3 linked regions of the Oryzias latipes genome follow. The protein of the gene in region 1 purifies or fractionates together with the protein of each later gene. This does not show direct contact. Links are inferred from orthologs where the notes say so. Each region holds a gene or a part of one and is shown in the gene's direction. Other genes may lie near its edges.

Evidence for each region. The genes of interacting proteins can lie anywhere in the genome.
Region 2: the proteins of prkaa1 (region 1) and usp10 purify together in Homo sapiens (affinity purification with western blotting; 3 studies listed by BioGRID). This does not show direct contact. The link is inferred for Oryzias latipes from reciprocal best matches to the Homo sapiens genes PRKAA1 and USP10.
Region 3: the proteins of prkaa1 (region 1) and pars2 purify together in Homo sapiens (affinity purification with mass spectrometry; 3 studies listed by BioGRID and IntAct, with this or other methods). This does not show direct contact. The link is inferred for Oryzias latipes from reciprocal best matches to the Homo sapiens genes PRKAA1 and PARS2.

What each region holds. Positions count from the first base shown.
Region 1 is NC_019870.2:7,422,063-7,427,153, forward strand, and holds the start of prkaa1 (5'-AMP-activated protein kinase catalytic subunit alpha-1), read left to right. Parts: upstream 1-1,546; 5' UTR 1,547-1,660; coding exon 1,661-1,757; intron 1,758-4,590; coding exon 4,591-4,732; intron 4,733-5,091. UniProt on the Homo sapiens protein: Catalytic subunit of AMP-activated protein kinase (AMPK), an energy sensor protein kinase that plays a key role in regulating cellular energy metabolism.
Region 2 is NC_019861.2:21,052,149-21,057,442, reverse strand, and holds the start of usp10 (ubiquitin carboxyl-terminal hydrolase 10), read left to right. Parts: upstream 1-1,777; 5' UTR 1,778-2,018; coding exon 2,019-2,039; intron 2,040-5,294. UniProt on the Homo sapiens protein: Hydrolase that can remove conjugated ubiquitin from target proteins such as p53/TP53, RPS2/us5, RPS3/us3, RPS10/eS10, BECN1, SNX3 and CFTR.
Region 3 is NC_019862.2:15,593,816-15,598,907, forward strand, and holds pars2 (probable proline--tRNA ligase, mitochondrial), read left to right. Parts: upstream 1-1,575; 5' UTR 1,576-1,723; intron 1,724-2,348; 5' UTR 2,349-2,378; coding exon 2,379-2,690; intron 2,691-2,841; coding exon 2,842-3,087; intron 3,088-3,169; coding exon 3,170-4,051; 3' UTR 4,052-4,134; downstream 4,135-5,092. UniProt on the Homo sapiens protein: Mitochondrial aminoacyl-tRNA synthetase that catalyzes the specific attachment of the proline amino acid (aa) to the homologous transfer RNA (tRNA), further participating in protein synthesis.

The sequences.
Region 1 (5,091 bases):
GTTGCCTGTATTGTTAGGTTTCTCCTCATTTGTTCAATTTTCAGCAGAGACTCATTGTAAAGCGCAGCACTCTGTTAAACACCAACAAAGACAACAGTTTACACCATAACCCTTGTGCTATCCTAGGCACTTAAACATTGGGAGTTGGGTCATCTAGACCCACTAGACAGTGCTCTGAACCTTTTCTCTTCAATGATTTGTGATCTTCACTGGTGTCCATGGATTACATGAAATCTTTCCACCTTTATCCACCTTTGTCATGGTAGGGAGAACACGTCAAAGTATGGGGTCATCTAAGATAGCACAAGGGATAAACTAATATCAAGAAAAAGTCTTATTTTCATTCTAAGACATTAAATACCCAGAATCTTCCAAAAATGTGTTTGTTCTTAGTCTTTAACAGCAGATTATTATCAAAGGTATAAGTTTTTACAATGAAAAAAGTCAATGTTTTAACACTTTTTTGTGGAATTGAACAAATTGCATGAGTCAATGAAGGTTATGTGGTCTCCGACAGGAGCACCTGCAGGTCTATGTTTGGTGCTTTTGGTTGAATGTATATAGTGCATAAATTATGGATTAACTTTCTTGTTTCAGCACAGTTTAACTGGTTGATTATTGAACTGGAGCTTTGTCTCCAAACAGCCTGCATGCTATCTGTGTCAACAGAGAAATGTTTGCCTCCCTGCATGCATGCATTTGCTCTCTGAGGGCTGATTTCTGTGTCATCAGAAAGAAAGCTGTGAGAAAGCTGATATGCATCCCTTATTTTTATGGTTTTTGCAAAGTCATCATGGCACTGCTAATCTGTGATTTAAAAAAAATGGGCAACAACCTGAAATGTCTCTCCTTTCTGTCGAGACTCAGGTAAAAGGAAAACATAAATTGTAATAATGTGCATTTTTTGTTTATTATCTGCTATTTTAATATGCCACTAATACAGGTTGCCTCTATACCTACAATAAATACATGAACCTGTAACAAATATATTTAATTCTAAAGGCAAATTAAAAAAAAAATATTTGCCTGTAAAGAAGAAGCTTTACATGAAGACAGGGTTAAAATATTTATTTTAAAAGAACTTTTAACATTAACTTGAAAATAGTAACAGCAACTTCAAATGATTTGTTCAATGAAGAAAATAAAAAGTTGAATCAGAACTAGGATTTCAAATATATATAAGAATCCAACATTGCAATGAGACCCCTTAGTTTATTCTACATTAGTCAAAACATTGTCCTCCAGGACGGGGATTTTAAATAAAACGTTTAATTAAATAATACTACTGAGGCTCGAATAAACTGAATTTACATATTTGACTTTTTCTTTATCTTTATTTCTTTGTTTTAAACAATTAAATATACCATTTTGAAGTAAAACTGTTTCATTTAATCCTTAAATACTCTACAAATTCAAATTGATCATTATCGTGGTCTTTTAAAGAAACTATCATAACGAGGTGGTGATAAAGTTGCAATTTCCGATCATTGTGTGTAGCGTTAAGGCATCATTCACCCGTGAATTCGACGAATCAGAGGAGTCGGAGAAGCCCCCCACCCCTCCCACCAAGCGAAGCCGAGCCGCCGCTGGAGAGACAGCGGAGTTGGTCCCGTCTCTGCCCCTTAGCGAGCAAATCCCGCTGAAAGGCCGCTGCGGGAAGATGGCGACGGACAAACAGAAGCACGAAGGAAGAGTTAAAATAGGACATTACATTCTTGGAGACACCCTCGGAGTGGGGACGTTTGGAAAGGTTAAAGGTACGTGTGGAAGCGTTGGCCTCGGCACATCTCAGCGAATGAAAGATGGAGCCTACAGGCGCTTTTAGCTTAGCGCCTACTTTAGCCTGCTTGGACGCTAACTTGTCACCACCAGGAAGCTAATCATAAATGTTATAATGCTGCTAGTCTAGCTTTTGGAATAATTAACTAATGCCACCTGATGTGCGCAACTTATCAACATTTTCAAACTTGTTTTTTTCTTTAAATAAAAAAAGATAATAATAAATCAGTTAGCATCGGTTTAAGCTAGCCAAAGAGCCACAAGTCGGTGTCAAGATATATACCGGGAGTCAAGCTCGTCAGCCCCTAACTCGGGATACGGTTATGTTTAGGATGTTGCCCTGTCTTCATCACCCCTCCCCTTTTTTGATTTTCGGATTGGCGATAAACGCAGAGTTTGCAATTTCACCTTTCCCCTGGCTGTGCGGCGTTTCTTAACACGCTTTTTCATTTCAGAGGCGGCCGGGCTTTTTTATGGGTGAAAGGGAAGTAAACGGGGGCAGAATTCACGCCCAGTTTTGTATTTTGGCAATAACGAGGCATGCAAGCACTAATTTCATAATAAAGCACATCTAAATGATTTACTCCGTGCAGTTATTGTTTGTATTTACTTTAAAGTATAATCCAACCGTGTTTTAAAAACGTATAAAGATCAGTTATTTGTTAAAAAATGAAGAACCACCCACTCTGTATGCAGTCGGTGTGTGTGTGATCTACACTTTATTTTCTGTGTCTTTTGGTCTATTTATTTGTTGTTGTTGTTGTTGTCCTCTATGTAGTTTTGACAGTGGAGTGTTCTTTGTGTGGATCACAGAGTAGTTTAATTGAAAAATATGTTTTTTTATTGCCATTTGCTAAGGTTTTTGGTAAAAATATGGACAAACGTTTGTCACAAGCCAGTGAGGTTGCCAAATTTAAATTCAGTTATATGTATGATTTTTAGGTGTGAAATGCGGATTATTTTTCAAACTGTTGTTCCTAAACAACTGTTTTTTGGATTTTAAGAAAAAAAAACATTTTTCCTTAACCGGGTATTCAAACTGATCAAACAGGAGTTTTCATTGAAAAGAACAAATTCTAGCCCCCCCCCCCCCCCCCCCCCCAACACCACACTAGCCCTTATTTAAACTAGAAACATTTTTGACCAACTGAACCATTTGATGCTGAGAAAAATAATCCAATCAATAAATAATATTAAATGTAAATTGATGTGAAACATTAACACAGTAGCACCAATATATTTAACGTTTTTAGTTTAAAGAAATACGTAAAAAAAAGTGCTGATTTTTTTTCTAAATGATCGATTATTTATTTATGATCTCAAAGAGTGCAGCTGTTTTCCTGCATTACCTGCTGTCTTTGTCAAATACTGACACCGACTAAACCACAGGCAGACGCAAAGAATACATTTATGGAAAATAAAGACACGGCATCAAAATGTCTACAATAGTTCATAAAGAATGACATTAGTAGCCTGAGCTGAGGAATCTAAAGGCATGTGATGATCCTGGTGTTGTTCAGCGTGTGCTGTTCCACCTCGCAGCCTGAGCCCACTACCCCTCCCCTCTCCTTCTCACACACGTGTGTGACAGGAGACGGGAGCAGCTGCAGGGACGGCGGTTCACAGGTTTCAGGCTGTTACAAACTCTGTGATAGAACAGATAATAGGAAACCAATAGTGGCGCAGATTTTTTCCCAAGCATTGAGCCGTTGTCACCACCACGCCCCGGGCATTTGCCCGTATTACCTGTGCCTAAAACCGCCACTACTGCGCGCCCCCCCTGGCATCGCATCGCCCCACTATTTGAGAAGCACTGCTTTAAACCAACATGGTTTCAGTAAATAGACATTGGTTAACCTTTATTTAAAACATATCTGGAAACTAAAAAAAAACGTTGTGAGAATTCCACAAAGATGCCTTTTTAGGGAGTTGTTAAGAGTGTGTCTAACTATGAGGGGGCATATGGGAAGACCTAGGACATTCTGGAAAGATTAGATCTCCCAGCTGTATCCTGGAAGAGGTAGCTGGGAAAAGAGAGGTCTGGGGTTCCTCGCTAAAACTACTGCTTCCGCAGCTCGAATCCTGGATGCCAGAAGATAGTTGTTGGATGAGTGGACACGTTTTTTGACGTGCTTGTATTTTAAAAGGTGAAATGATATCCCTTTGAGCCAGATTTGTGTTTCTCGATGGGACAACTTAAAAAGCAAAAACTGTTCTCCAACTCCCAGTAGTAGTTGCAGTATTTTCTTTGTGCTGCTTTAATGTCTTTGTTGTGCGGAAATATTTTTTTCTGATTGAATCTATCCACACGATCAAAGTTTTCATTTATTTCTATTATCTGAACGGGTTTACGTTAATAGCATAATTTCAGTAAATTCAGACTAAAGGTCAACTGCAGAGTTGGACGTGTTTGGCCCACATAGCCATGAAATGAGCTTGTTTTGATTTCCCACTTGAACTTTGAAAGACTTTAAAAAAAAAACTGTTCAGCTTCCTGCAGACTTGCTTCTCTCACCGTTTGGGGAAATTTCAATCAATCTATGAATTGGCATCAACAGTGACACATGCAAAAAAGGTCCCGTCTGGTAATCAATGAATGGATGCAGCTTCCGTTAGGAATGTTGGAACTTTAACAAATATTTGCGAAAACAGCTTATTTAAATAGAAGATTTTGTTTTTAAAGTTACTTTTTAATACTATGTTTGATAATATTTTGAATAAGTAATTCCTAATAACTGTGGCTTGTATTTTCCATGTAACTATTCTTAAAAATCCAGGATATTTATGACCTGTCATCTGTTTGTCCTGCAGTGGGCCAACATGAACTTACCAAGCATCAAGTGGCGGTGAAAATCCTGAACAGGCAGAAGATTCGCAGCTTGGACGTGGTGGGAAAGATTCGGCGAGAGATCCAGAACCTCAAACTTTTCAGGCACCCTCACATAATTAAACTGTGAGTCCTAGATTACACACCACGCACCGTTCGCCGCTCTCTAATCCTTCCGCCGCCACATTAATACCACTCACGGAGCTATTTTCAGACTTTAATAGTGTGTTTTAGACCACATCCATTTAGGACAATATCTGTGGACTTAAGCCTCTGCTGGTTTCGCAGAATCGCCTCGTCTTAGTGAATCATGTCTGACAGCATCATTCCTCTCTGTCTGACTTGTTTGCCCTCAATCTCAAATATATTACTGAGGAAATGTTCAGGTTTATTTTTGAATTTATAGCTTTAAATCACTTTTGGTATTGCTCATAACTTTTGTTTAAGCTGTTAATCATTTTTGTCAGAGCTCATCTGATCCAATT
Region 2 (5,294 bases), on another chromosome or scaffold:
AGAACTTTTACCAGCTGCTATTGGAATTTAAATCCAAACACAATGTATATTGGTTAGAAGTATACAATGGTACTGCTTAAATGTAACATAACATCTGACCTTCTTCATCGAGATGTACTGGAACTGAGTTTCTCCTTGTTGGGATTAATAAAGTTTTCATTCATTCATTTCTGAAATTTAGAAGAACCTGTAATCTTATTTGACTTCAACTTAAAATTTTATAATTAGTATTGACTGAATTAAGTTAGATACTTTAAAAAAGGTTTTCTGACAAAGTACAGTTTTTACAAGTGTTAATCGTGTATATTTTTGTATTTATTTGTACTTTTTTAAGTGAACAATAAAAGTTAACTTCACAAAAAAATGTAAGAAAACTCACTGGGCAGCAACAAAGAAATATATACTGCTTGATGACATGTTAGTTTTATTAACATGTGTCTTGTATATATTGCATAAAGGTTTCCTCTAATAATCAACTTTACCACTTTTATTGTGAAGTCTTTGAACCAATCCAATCAAGTATTTTTAATGACAAGTAAAAATGTGTCCATCTCCTTTGCTCAGCAAACCCACTGGTTACTTATATCGGCTGCAGGTTTACAAGATATTTTGGTTTTAATCTAAAGGTAGGTCAATACCTTTAATAAAATTCCATTAATTAAATCTCTGGCTGATGTTTTTTGCTTCTTGTGTATTATAAATGTGGTTGTTAACTGGAGGTCGTGTTTATACTCAATTGGTTTTACTGAAGTAACTGGAAAAAGACATCAGTCACCAAATTGATGCACAGAAAAAAAATAATGCAGGGATAGCATAGCAATAAAGCTATTTTAAGAAACAAAAAAGACAAAGTAATCAAAGGGTTTAGACACCAAAAATAAATGTTTTTTAATGTAAAATTTATCAATAAACACGGTATGAAAAAAAATAAATAAATAGGTGACTCTCAGAGGAAATCAAAACGCAGTAAATAAAAGTGGCTATGTCTTTAAATGAGGCTTAGAAACTCTATCTGTGGGGAGACACTAGATGTAGTTCATTTTCCCCAAATTCCTTGAAAAGAGGCTAATACAAACATATCAAAATATGCCTGTAAACTCTTGTCTGAGGGTGTCTTTTACTTCGACAACTAAGTTTCGACCAAATGTAAGTATTAAAGCAGTGTTAACAATGTTAGAGTAGTTCAAACATGGAGAGAGAAAAAAGCAAGCATTCCTCACTAATTACTGAAAATCAAAACCAATTTAGAAAGTTAGAAGCCAAAGACGATCAAAGCTATACTTGAACACAACATTTTACTGTTTAGATTACATATTCAAAGAAGGGACACTTAATAAATTGGCAGATGGAGGCTGTGGTTACAACTGGGACGAAATCCAAGAGGAGTGAATGGGTACAGAAGCTAGAGTTGGATTGTGGCAACTGATCTGCTGTGGTGAGCCCTGATGGGAGCACCCAAGGGATGGGAAAAGCACTATGCAAATACATAAATACAAATTCACACTTTGAAGGGTTAATAGCAGTCTAATTCTAGAGGACATCCAAGAACCGATACAAGTTTGTCTGTAATTTATTGTTTGTATGATTTTTAAATTGTTATATTTCAGTTTCATGAACATAAGAAATAAACTAATGGGAACTGTTTAAAGCGCAACAACAACAATATATTATTAATAATAATGATAATAATACGAGGAGGCCTTTATTTTGAAGTTGTTAGGCCAAAACTCACCGGAAGTATTTGTGGTTACTCGTCTCACTCATGCTTTCCACGGACCGCGCGGCTGTGCAATGGTTAGCAAACGAGGGGAATGCTTCGCAGAAATGGCGGCGACGGCAAGCTGAGCAGCATGAATTTCTTGGCCGCTTCATGGATCGAAATGTTTGAATGCCAAGAACCGTTTGGAGAGCTGACAATTACGATGGAGTAGAGGACCTCTTGTAATTGTCATTACAACCCCATAACGCCTTCCTAGAGGAGTTTTCGTCTTGCGGAGGAGAACATTCTCACTGGGAGCATGGCTTCTCACAGTAACCAGGTAGCTAAAAGCTATTTGGCTAATGTTAGCTAGCAAGGAGCAAACGCAGCGTCACTTTCGCTTGCAGGTTTACCAAAAAGAGTTGTTTGTGCGTCAGTCTTCAATAGTTTATTTTCACAAAAATGTTATGCCTTTAGGTGTATAATCTTGGTTTGTTTGAATGTTATCCTACTCAGTAAATGTGTTGGTCGTGAAAAGTGCTTGTTAATACCCCCCGAAGTCTCAAACATCCAGAATGGCAGCGTTAGCCAATAGGCCATATGCTCCATTCATATATGAGGCAGTGGTTCTCCTCCGTTGCTCCTATTATTAAGCCATAATTTTATTTAATTTGATAATTAGAAAGCGTACTCGATACAATTAACAATAACATCGACTCTTCGACGTGAAATCTTACGATTGTCATGACATTTTCTGCGAGTGAAATGTCAGAAAATTGCTGCGTGTTTTCACATGGCCCCAACTGTCAGTAATTCTAAAGGCCTTCGTCCTTTAAGCCTCATTTTAATAACTCGCTTTGCAACCAAAAACTTGTGAAAACGATGTGAAGAGTCGTAGTAAACTTGTTCAACACTTTTGTCTGCATTAATTATTGTTTTTCCGAGTTGCTTAAAGTTGGGGCAAAAATATATTCGAGGTCATTAGCTCTTAGCAAGCTAACCGCGTTTATACAGGTGGTGTGCATGTACTTTGCTGACAGTCCGCTAGCTTGTTAGCTAAATACAACGTGACAACCTTGGCCTTCGTCGGGAGAACGCATTTATTTGACATGGTGGTGTGGGATTAAAGTGTTCGTCTGCACCGTTTTGGGGTCGTTACTAAAACTAGTTTCGTGGATTGTGGTTCATTAAGCCGTTGCCAGTCGTAAGATGCTAGAACAAGTCGTCATGTGGAAGGCCCAAACTGCTCTGTGTATAATATGTCAAGTCTAAACTTTAAAGTAATAGCTGCTGAGCATTAACTGGGAATTGTTTTCTTGAAGTTGCGTTTCTAACCATGTTTCCCGCAGGCGGAATTGATTTGTATCAGATTAATCAAGGGGACATGTGTATTATTAACTACGCAATGGGCAGTAAGACTCAACACATGTCTTTGCTATATTTTCTGCAGACCTTTCTGCTAGCCTGTTTATTTATTTATATATATATATATATATATATATATATATATATATATATATATATATATATATATATAAAACAAGAGTTGCAGATAGTACAAAGTAGAAAAATTACTCAATGAAGTGTGCACAAGACAAAGTTTAGATAAAAGGTTCAACAAACTAGGAGGAAAATATTTTTACACCATCTGTGCACTTTCCTTTCTCAAAAATGGGTTTAGCTAATATGATAAAATTTGATTTCACTAACATTGCACATGGTTAGAAGCTACATAACTCCTTCTTCAAAGGTATGTTGACAAAATCAGACTGTAGACAAAAGGATGTTAAAACTCTGATTACCTGAACCAGGTTGGCATGCTTTGGTTGCCAAATCTTGCAAAAATGTCATTATTTTTCATTGAAAAAAATGGTCCTGAATTTATTCCAAAAAAATCAGTGAAGTACAACCATGAAGACTAATTTCTGTTGGGGCATTTTCTCATCATGATACCCATTGATCTATTAAGTATAGGTTATTAAGAACACAAACTATTACAAGCAATCATATTACTAAAACATGTGATTTTAGACGGCCGATATCATGTAAAATTCAGGGTTTTCTTTAGCTTTTAGGTGTATTATAGTGTTAATTCCTCTTGAAAAGAAATCCCAAATTATTATTTTTCTCCATTCATGCATATCTAAGCATTCCTTTAAAAACCCAGTTCTCTGAGCACCAGTCCCTCTTAGTCCACAAAAACAAGTGGGTTCTAACATTGTGACGTAACAACGTGAGGAACAGCCTCTACCCTGCTAGCACCGCCCCCAAGCTAACACACACACTCACCCACACAAACACACACACAGACTCTTTCTCTGCAGAGCTATCAATGATCGGCAAAAACGCGTTCATTTTATATGCACAACATTAGACCTGCACAATATATCGCAAGTTTATCGTGACATCAAGCTGTGCAATATGCATTTTGCAAAAGACTGCGAAAATTGCAATAAAATAGTTACCTTAAATGTGCTAAAAAAGTCTTATGGCAGTTTAAAGTATTTAATGAATCAAATAAATCCATTTATGCATTTGACCAATCAGATGGACCCCTTTTATCTTAGATGTTTGTCTCCTATGTCGACGAGGGTCAATAAGAGTATAATTTTTAAACTGTTGCAATGAAAGGGGAATGATGTTTTTGGTAGTTTTTGCTATTTGTTCACATACCGCAAGTTTTATCGTTATCCCAATACTGATCATTAATATCGCATATCGCAAGTTTTCCTCATATCGTGCAGCTCTACACAACATGCAGATCCATCTTTGAAAAAGTTCGGATAATGTTCGTTTTCATGAAACGGAGACATACTGCTGAGGCCATGTCTAGGTTGATGTCATGAAATGGTCAGCCAGCACCCACACACCCAGCGCCAGGGATAGTTTTCTTACTTCCGGCTTGGAAAATGAACTGCAAAAACTGGCATTTTATTTAAAGAAAAAAATTATGCTTTGCCAATGGTAATATATTTTCATTTATATGGATATAGATTATTCTGAAAGGTTTAAAAGTATGATATAGGCCTTTAAAAAAATAGTATGTTTGTGTGCTGGAAAACAGCAGGTGTTTTTAAAAAATTGTGAACTAAATATACTTTATTTTCTTTCTCTCTCTCTCTTTTTTTTTACCTAGTGGGAAATATCAAATTCACTTGTTTGGAAGTGTTTGGATGTTAACAAACTCAGATTTTAGTTGCTTAGAGAAAGTGTGTGGCTACCAGATCAGGCAATATCATATAGATTTGTATGTCTGGGAGTATTCCCTTTTATTCTCTACCCAACTTCAGGTAAATTAGTGTTTGGACTAGCAGCAGCTTGTGTAGGATTAACAAAGAAATGTAAACCCAGTCACTTAAAACACTCCAACAGTCTACTTTAACCGGGTCACAAAGTTATTTTTTTAAATTTTTTAAAAACTTTAAGTTCAATCTGTCACAAAGGTGATCATTTTACCCTTTGTCCAGGACCTGGTGATAGTAACTGAGAGCAAGTGTGGCAAAGTGCACATTATTGCAAGACACCTATTGGAGTGGCAAATAACTTTTTAAAACAGCTTTACACTGGGATAAGAAAGACGTTTCTGCAGTCTGTA
Region 3 (5,092 bases), on another chromosome or scaffold:
TTTACACAATAAATCCAGCTCTTCTCTGGGTGTTAAATTTAGATTTTCTACAGAGCTACAGAAGGATGTTTTCCAGGCCCAGTAATTCTCTGGTTGGTCATCGTAGTTTAATAGCCCTGAGCTTACAATTTCCCGGCGTACCAAGTACTTGGCCAGATCTGTCATAGCCGCTGGACTGGACTCTGCGGCATTGGTAGCAGCAGCTGGAGGAGACTGGGAAGCTTGGTTGACATGGCTGGATGGTGTTGGATGGTGAGACTGATTCCAGTAGTAAAATGTTCCTCTGGGTGGAGGTGGATCATGTCTGTGTTCAAACTCAAACTGAGTGTTTTCATACTGAGTTTTTTCGGATGGGTTTCGATGTTGGGGGTAACTTGGAGGAGTGTCCTGTTTGAATGCATGTTGAGCAGGTAGTACGTGAAACTCGTGAACATTACTCTTACTTGACTGTGCGTCGGCGTTCCCTTTGCAGCTTTTAACCATTTTTTGATGGTGTTTCTGCATTTCTGGGGTTTCTTGCAGCTTTGAGTCATGGTGAGAGTGCTCAGAGTTTAGATTCTTTGTAACGTCATGGTCAATGGATTTACTGTGTAAGCTCATACATTCTAGGTCCCCAAATTCATTCTCTGCAGCTGATTCCAAGACTTCAGCTTCTGCTATGGCGGCTGCAGCAGCACTTTCTAGTCGCAACTTGTGAAGATTTGCTTGGAGCTCCGCTTTCTTTCGTGCAGCCTCAGCTGCAGCCTTTTGTTGCTCCTCTTCAATATATGCTTGTGCTTTAATCATGTCGGCTTCTCGTTGAGCAAATGATGCTTGTGTGCGTGCAGCCTCCGCCTTTGCGCGTGCTCTGGCTGCTATAGCACTGGTTGAGGACAAGCGGCTGGTGCGTGAAGAGTTGGAGCATTGTGATCTTATTTCAAAGTCTTCGATATCTTTATCCATCAGGATGGCTGCTTTACTTGCAGAATAATATTGTATGTTTCAAAGTAGATCTCTTCTGGAGAAACCCGTCAGGTGGATGTCTTTTCACTATTCTGCCCTCACTGGAACTTTAGCGTGATTTCTACCTTGGCAGACAGCTAACAGGTTCCTCAATAAACACCCAGGAGTCATAAATGTCCATTATGTTAAAAATTCACTAATAAGGGAATACTACTGAAGTAATCATTTAATAGTACTAGCCAAATTTCATATTCATAAGTGCACATTTCGGGAGGGGGCACTATTCCAACTTTTTATGATTGAGTTAAACCAAAAACCAAAAAACCAAAACAATACATTCCTCTTCTAACCCCAAAGCTTTAAGAACTTGACACCTTGTATTTTTTTAGATGCAGAGAATAACAACTCACTGCTTTTCCTGCTTCTGTTTATTCAGGGTTTTTTTTTCAATCTATGTTTCCCTGGCACATTTTGTTACTCAGTTTTCTATCTGTATATTTTAAAATGTTCTCATTTTTGTATTAATGAGTCTGTAAGTTTTCAAAAAAGATTATTTAAAAAAAACTATTGCCAACGCTGTTGTTATTTCCCCTCCAAACCGGTAGATGGCAGTGTGAGATTACAGTGATTGCGGTGTCATGCAATCACAGAAAGAAAGTGACCTAGAGTGGAGGAGTGGTGGTAGCAATGCTTGCCTTGTGTATTCATTTATTTTCAAACTGCTCTCAGTCTTTTTGGCGCAAATGTACCAATAAAATCGTCTCAACGGAACTGTCTGAAGGTGAGGCTTGTTTATGACGTAAGCGTGCTTCTCGTTATAACACGCAAACAGAGGAAAATAACGTTAGCATCGTCGTCTGTTAGCCAAAGGCTTCCTTTAACTTTTCTAATGTGTCCAAGAATCTCAATGAATTTGTGCATAAATCATATGAACGCATGAAAACATTTCAAATTAAATGTCTAATTTTTTGGGAATAGTTAATTTATTTCAAATATAAATATTTCTAAATAGAGAATTTTAATCACTTTTAAGGAAGTACTTGTGTACTGTATTGTTTACCAACCAAATCAAATGAGCTTAATTGAGCCAAAAAACACGAGTCTCCACTTCTTGATGTTTTGCTTGATGCTTTTTTTCTGTTCCTCTTTAAAACATTAACATAGTGATCAAATGAAATATTTTTAGAAGCACCCAAATTAACTGTTTTAAAAAGAAACAAAGTTTTAGTACTCATTGTAGTTTTGTCTAGAAAATAATACATTTGAGCAGTTTTGCAGCAGTAAACCTGCATCACAATTTATTGGATGATCAGACTCTTGTTGAAGTGCAGATGTCACTGTGTTGCCTTGATTATATTTTGCTCTCATTACACTGCACTAATAACTCAAACTGTTTTACTTGACAGGGGCATTAATTTGAAGTGTGACAGTCTACGATGCATCCAGTTTGGAAGAGAGTGTTTCATCGTCTCCACAGAGCCCTTCTTATTTCAAAGAGGCATCAATCAGGTTATGCTGAGCACACACCCACCTGTACTTCTACAAAGACAACATCCAGGAAGCCGAGGCTCCTGGTTTCTCGTCTTTACCAGCCTTCGAACCTTCGGGATGTTGGCCAAGACAGCCGGCTGTCGGGAGAAATGACATGCAAGAGCCAGAGGCTCATGCATCAGGCCGGCCTCATTCATCCATTCAGTCCGGGGTGTTACGTCTACCTTCCTGCCACTGTCAGATCAATGGAGAAGCTGGTGAGTTTTTATCTTAAACAAAAGAAAAAACAAAAGCACAAAAATGACTAAATACCAGTTTGACTTTTTATTCAAAATGTTATCATGACATGGAAAAATACTACATTTTGCTACTACTTTTGGTTCTGTAACTGTTGCTTTCAATCAACAGATGAGAGTAATAGACCAGGAGATGCAGGGGATTGGAGGGCAGAAGCTGGACATGCCCAGTCTGTGCTCAGCAGATCTCTGGAGAACTAGTGAACGATGGGATTTGATGGGAAAGGAGCTGTTCCGTCTAAAAGACCGGCATGGTGCAGACTATTGCCTGGGTCCCACTCACGAGGAGGCCGTGACCACTCTTGTTGCTCACCAGGCAACGCTCTCATACAGACAGCTACCTCTGCTACTGTACCAAGTAGGTTTTTTGCTATAGTTACTATCACTTTTTCTGTTATAAGCTGCCCTTTTACTTTGTGATTTCTCTCATCCAAAACCAGATAACCCGCAAGTTCAGGGATGAGCCAAAACCAAAGTTTGGTCTTCTCAGAGGCCGAGAGTTTTACATGAAAGACATGTATTCATTTGATGTGAGTGAAGAAGCTGCTCAACAGACGTATGGATCTGTCTGTCAGGCGTACATCCAGCTTTTCACGCGTTTGGGCCTGCGCTGCGTTCAGGTACAGGCGGATACAGGCAACATCGGCGGTACCCTTTCCCATGAGTTTCAGTTACCAACAGACGTAGGAGAGGACCGACTTTTACTCTGTGGGAACTGCTCCTTTTCAGCTAATGTGGAGACTTTGTCATCAGGCACAACCCACTGTCCACAGTGCAAAACTGGAGCTCTGGTAGAGTCAAAGGGAATAGAAGTTGGGCACACGTTTTATCTGGGAAAGAAGTACTCCAGTGTATTCAAAGCCACCTTTAGCAACCCCCAAAACAAACCCTCCGTCACTGAAATGGGTTGCTATGGCCTTGGAGTGAGCCGCATTCTCGCTGCAGCCATTGAAGTGTTGTCCACAGACGAGGGAATCCGCTGGCCCGGTCTCATTGCTCCTTACCAGATCTGCGTTTTACCCCCCAAGAAAGGCAGTAAGGTCGAAGGGGCAGCAGTCTTAGCAGAGGAACTGGTGGACAGTTTGGGTGAAGACTTTCCTCACCTGAGGGGTGAGATTGTTCTTGATGACCGCACACAGATGACCATTGGAAAGAGGCTGAAGGACGCCAGCAGACTGGGCTACCCATATGTGATTGTGGTGGGGGAAGCAGCTCTACAGAATCCCCCCACCTTTGAGGTGATCTGTCAGCAGACTGCTGAGACGCTATTTCTGAGTAAAGACGGACTCCTGGATCTGCTCGGAAAAGTAGAAACTGTATAATAAACAGCTTTTGTTGTAAGAGTGTATAAATGTTTGACATGTGAGGTGATGGAATAAAAAACTGTAAAGCTTTTGATATCAAACTGGAGAAAACTTGTCCTTGGTTTTCAGTCTTTTATTTTATCAATGTTATAATGGAGTCTTAACGGGAATAAAGCATGTACCAGTACCAGTGTATGAATGAGAGAATTATGATGAAAACATTTTAAAGAGATCAAAATAAGTGTCATAATTCACAATTTCAAATCAATAAGTAAATTGATGTTGAACAAGGTTATGACAAAAATAGTCTTTGCTTAAGCTTTAGGTACACCACCACACTTAGTCTTAATCTGTTCTTTAGGTTGTTTGTTTTTTTACTTCAGTAAATAGTTTACTCTTTCCTTGAAGTCAATAGACTACTCCTATGCCAGTAGTTCTGTTGACCTACAGGGTTTTTATGAGCATGCTTGTAGGCAGAGAAATAAAAGAAAAGGCAACGATGAAGGACGTATAGCAGGAGCTTTGAATACAGTGACTTACAGGAAAACTAAAGTTGTCCAACACAATGGGAAGAAGGAAAGGTGGATTTCCTGGGTGTGCCAGATGGAGCAGAGCAGGGAGTTTGTAGTCAGCCGACTGTAGCACCTGGGTCACTGCCACAAGCTTTTTCCAGCAGCATTTTTCTCATCTGCAACTGATTCACAGCAATTTGAATAAATAAATACTCTGAAGTGCAAGTTTAAATTAAATGTACTTTATATATGTCCTACGTGAGAAAAATGCTTCAGGAACATTATAGAAACAGAAAAATGCATTGGAGTGTTCATTGGAGCGTGTCCTTAAGTTATGGGGTTTGTCTGGAAAAATATTTTATTTTTCTGGTAAAGGGCATTTCAACTTAAAGAAAAACTTTGGAGCTATGGCAGAATCTGGACTCATCACTGACTATAGAACGTTTTTGCACATATTTATTAGAGCCTCGTGCAAATGTAATCAGGCAACTGATTGGTTACACCTGTGGATACCTGACAGTGCCAGATTGGGGAATGGAAATTACGG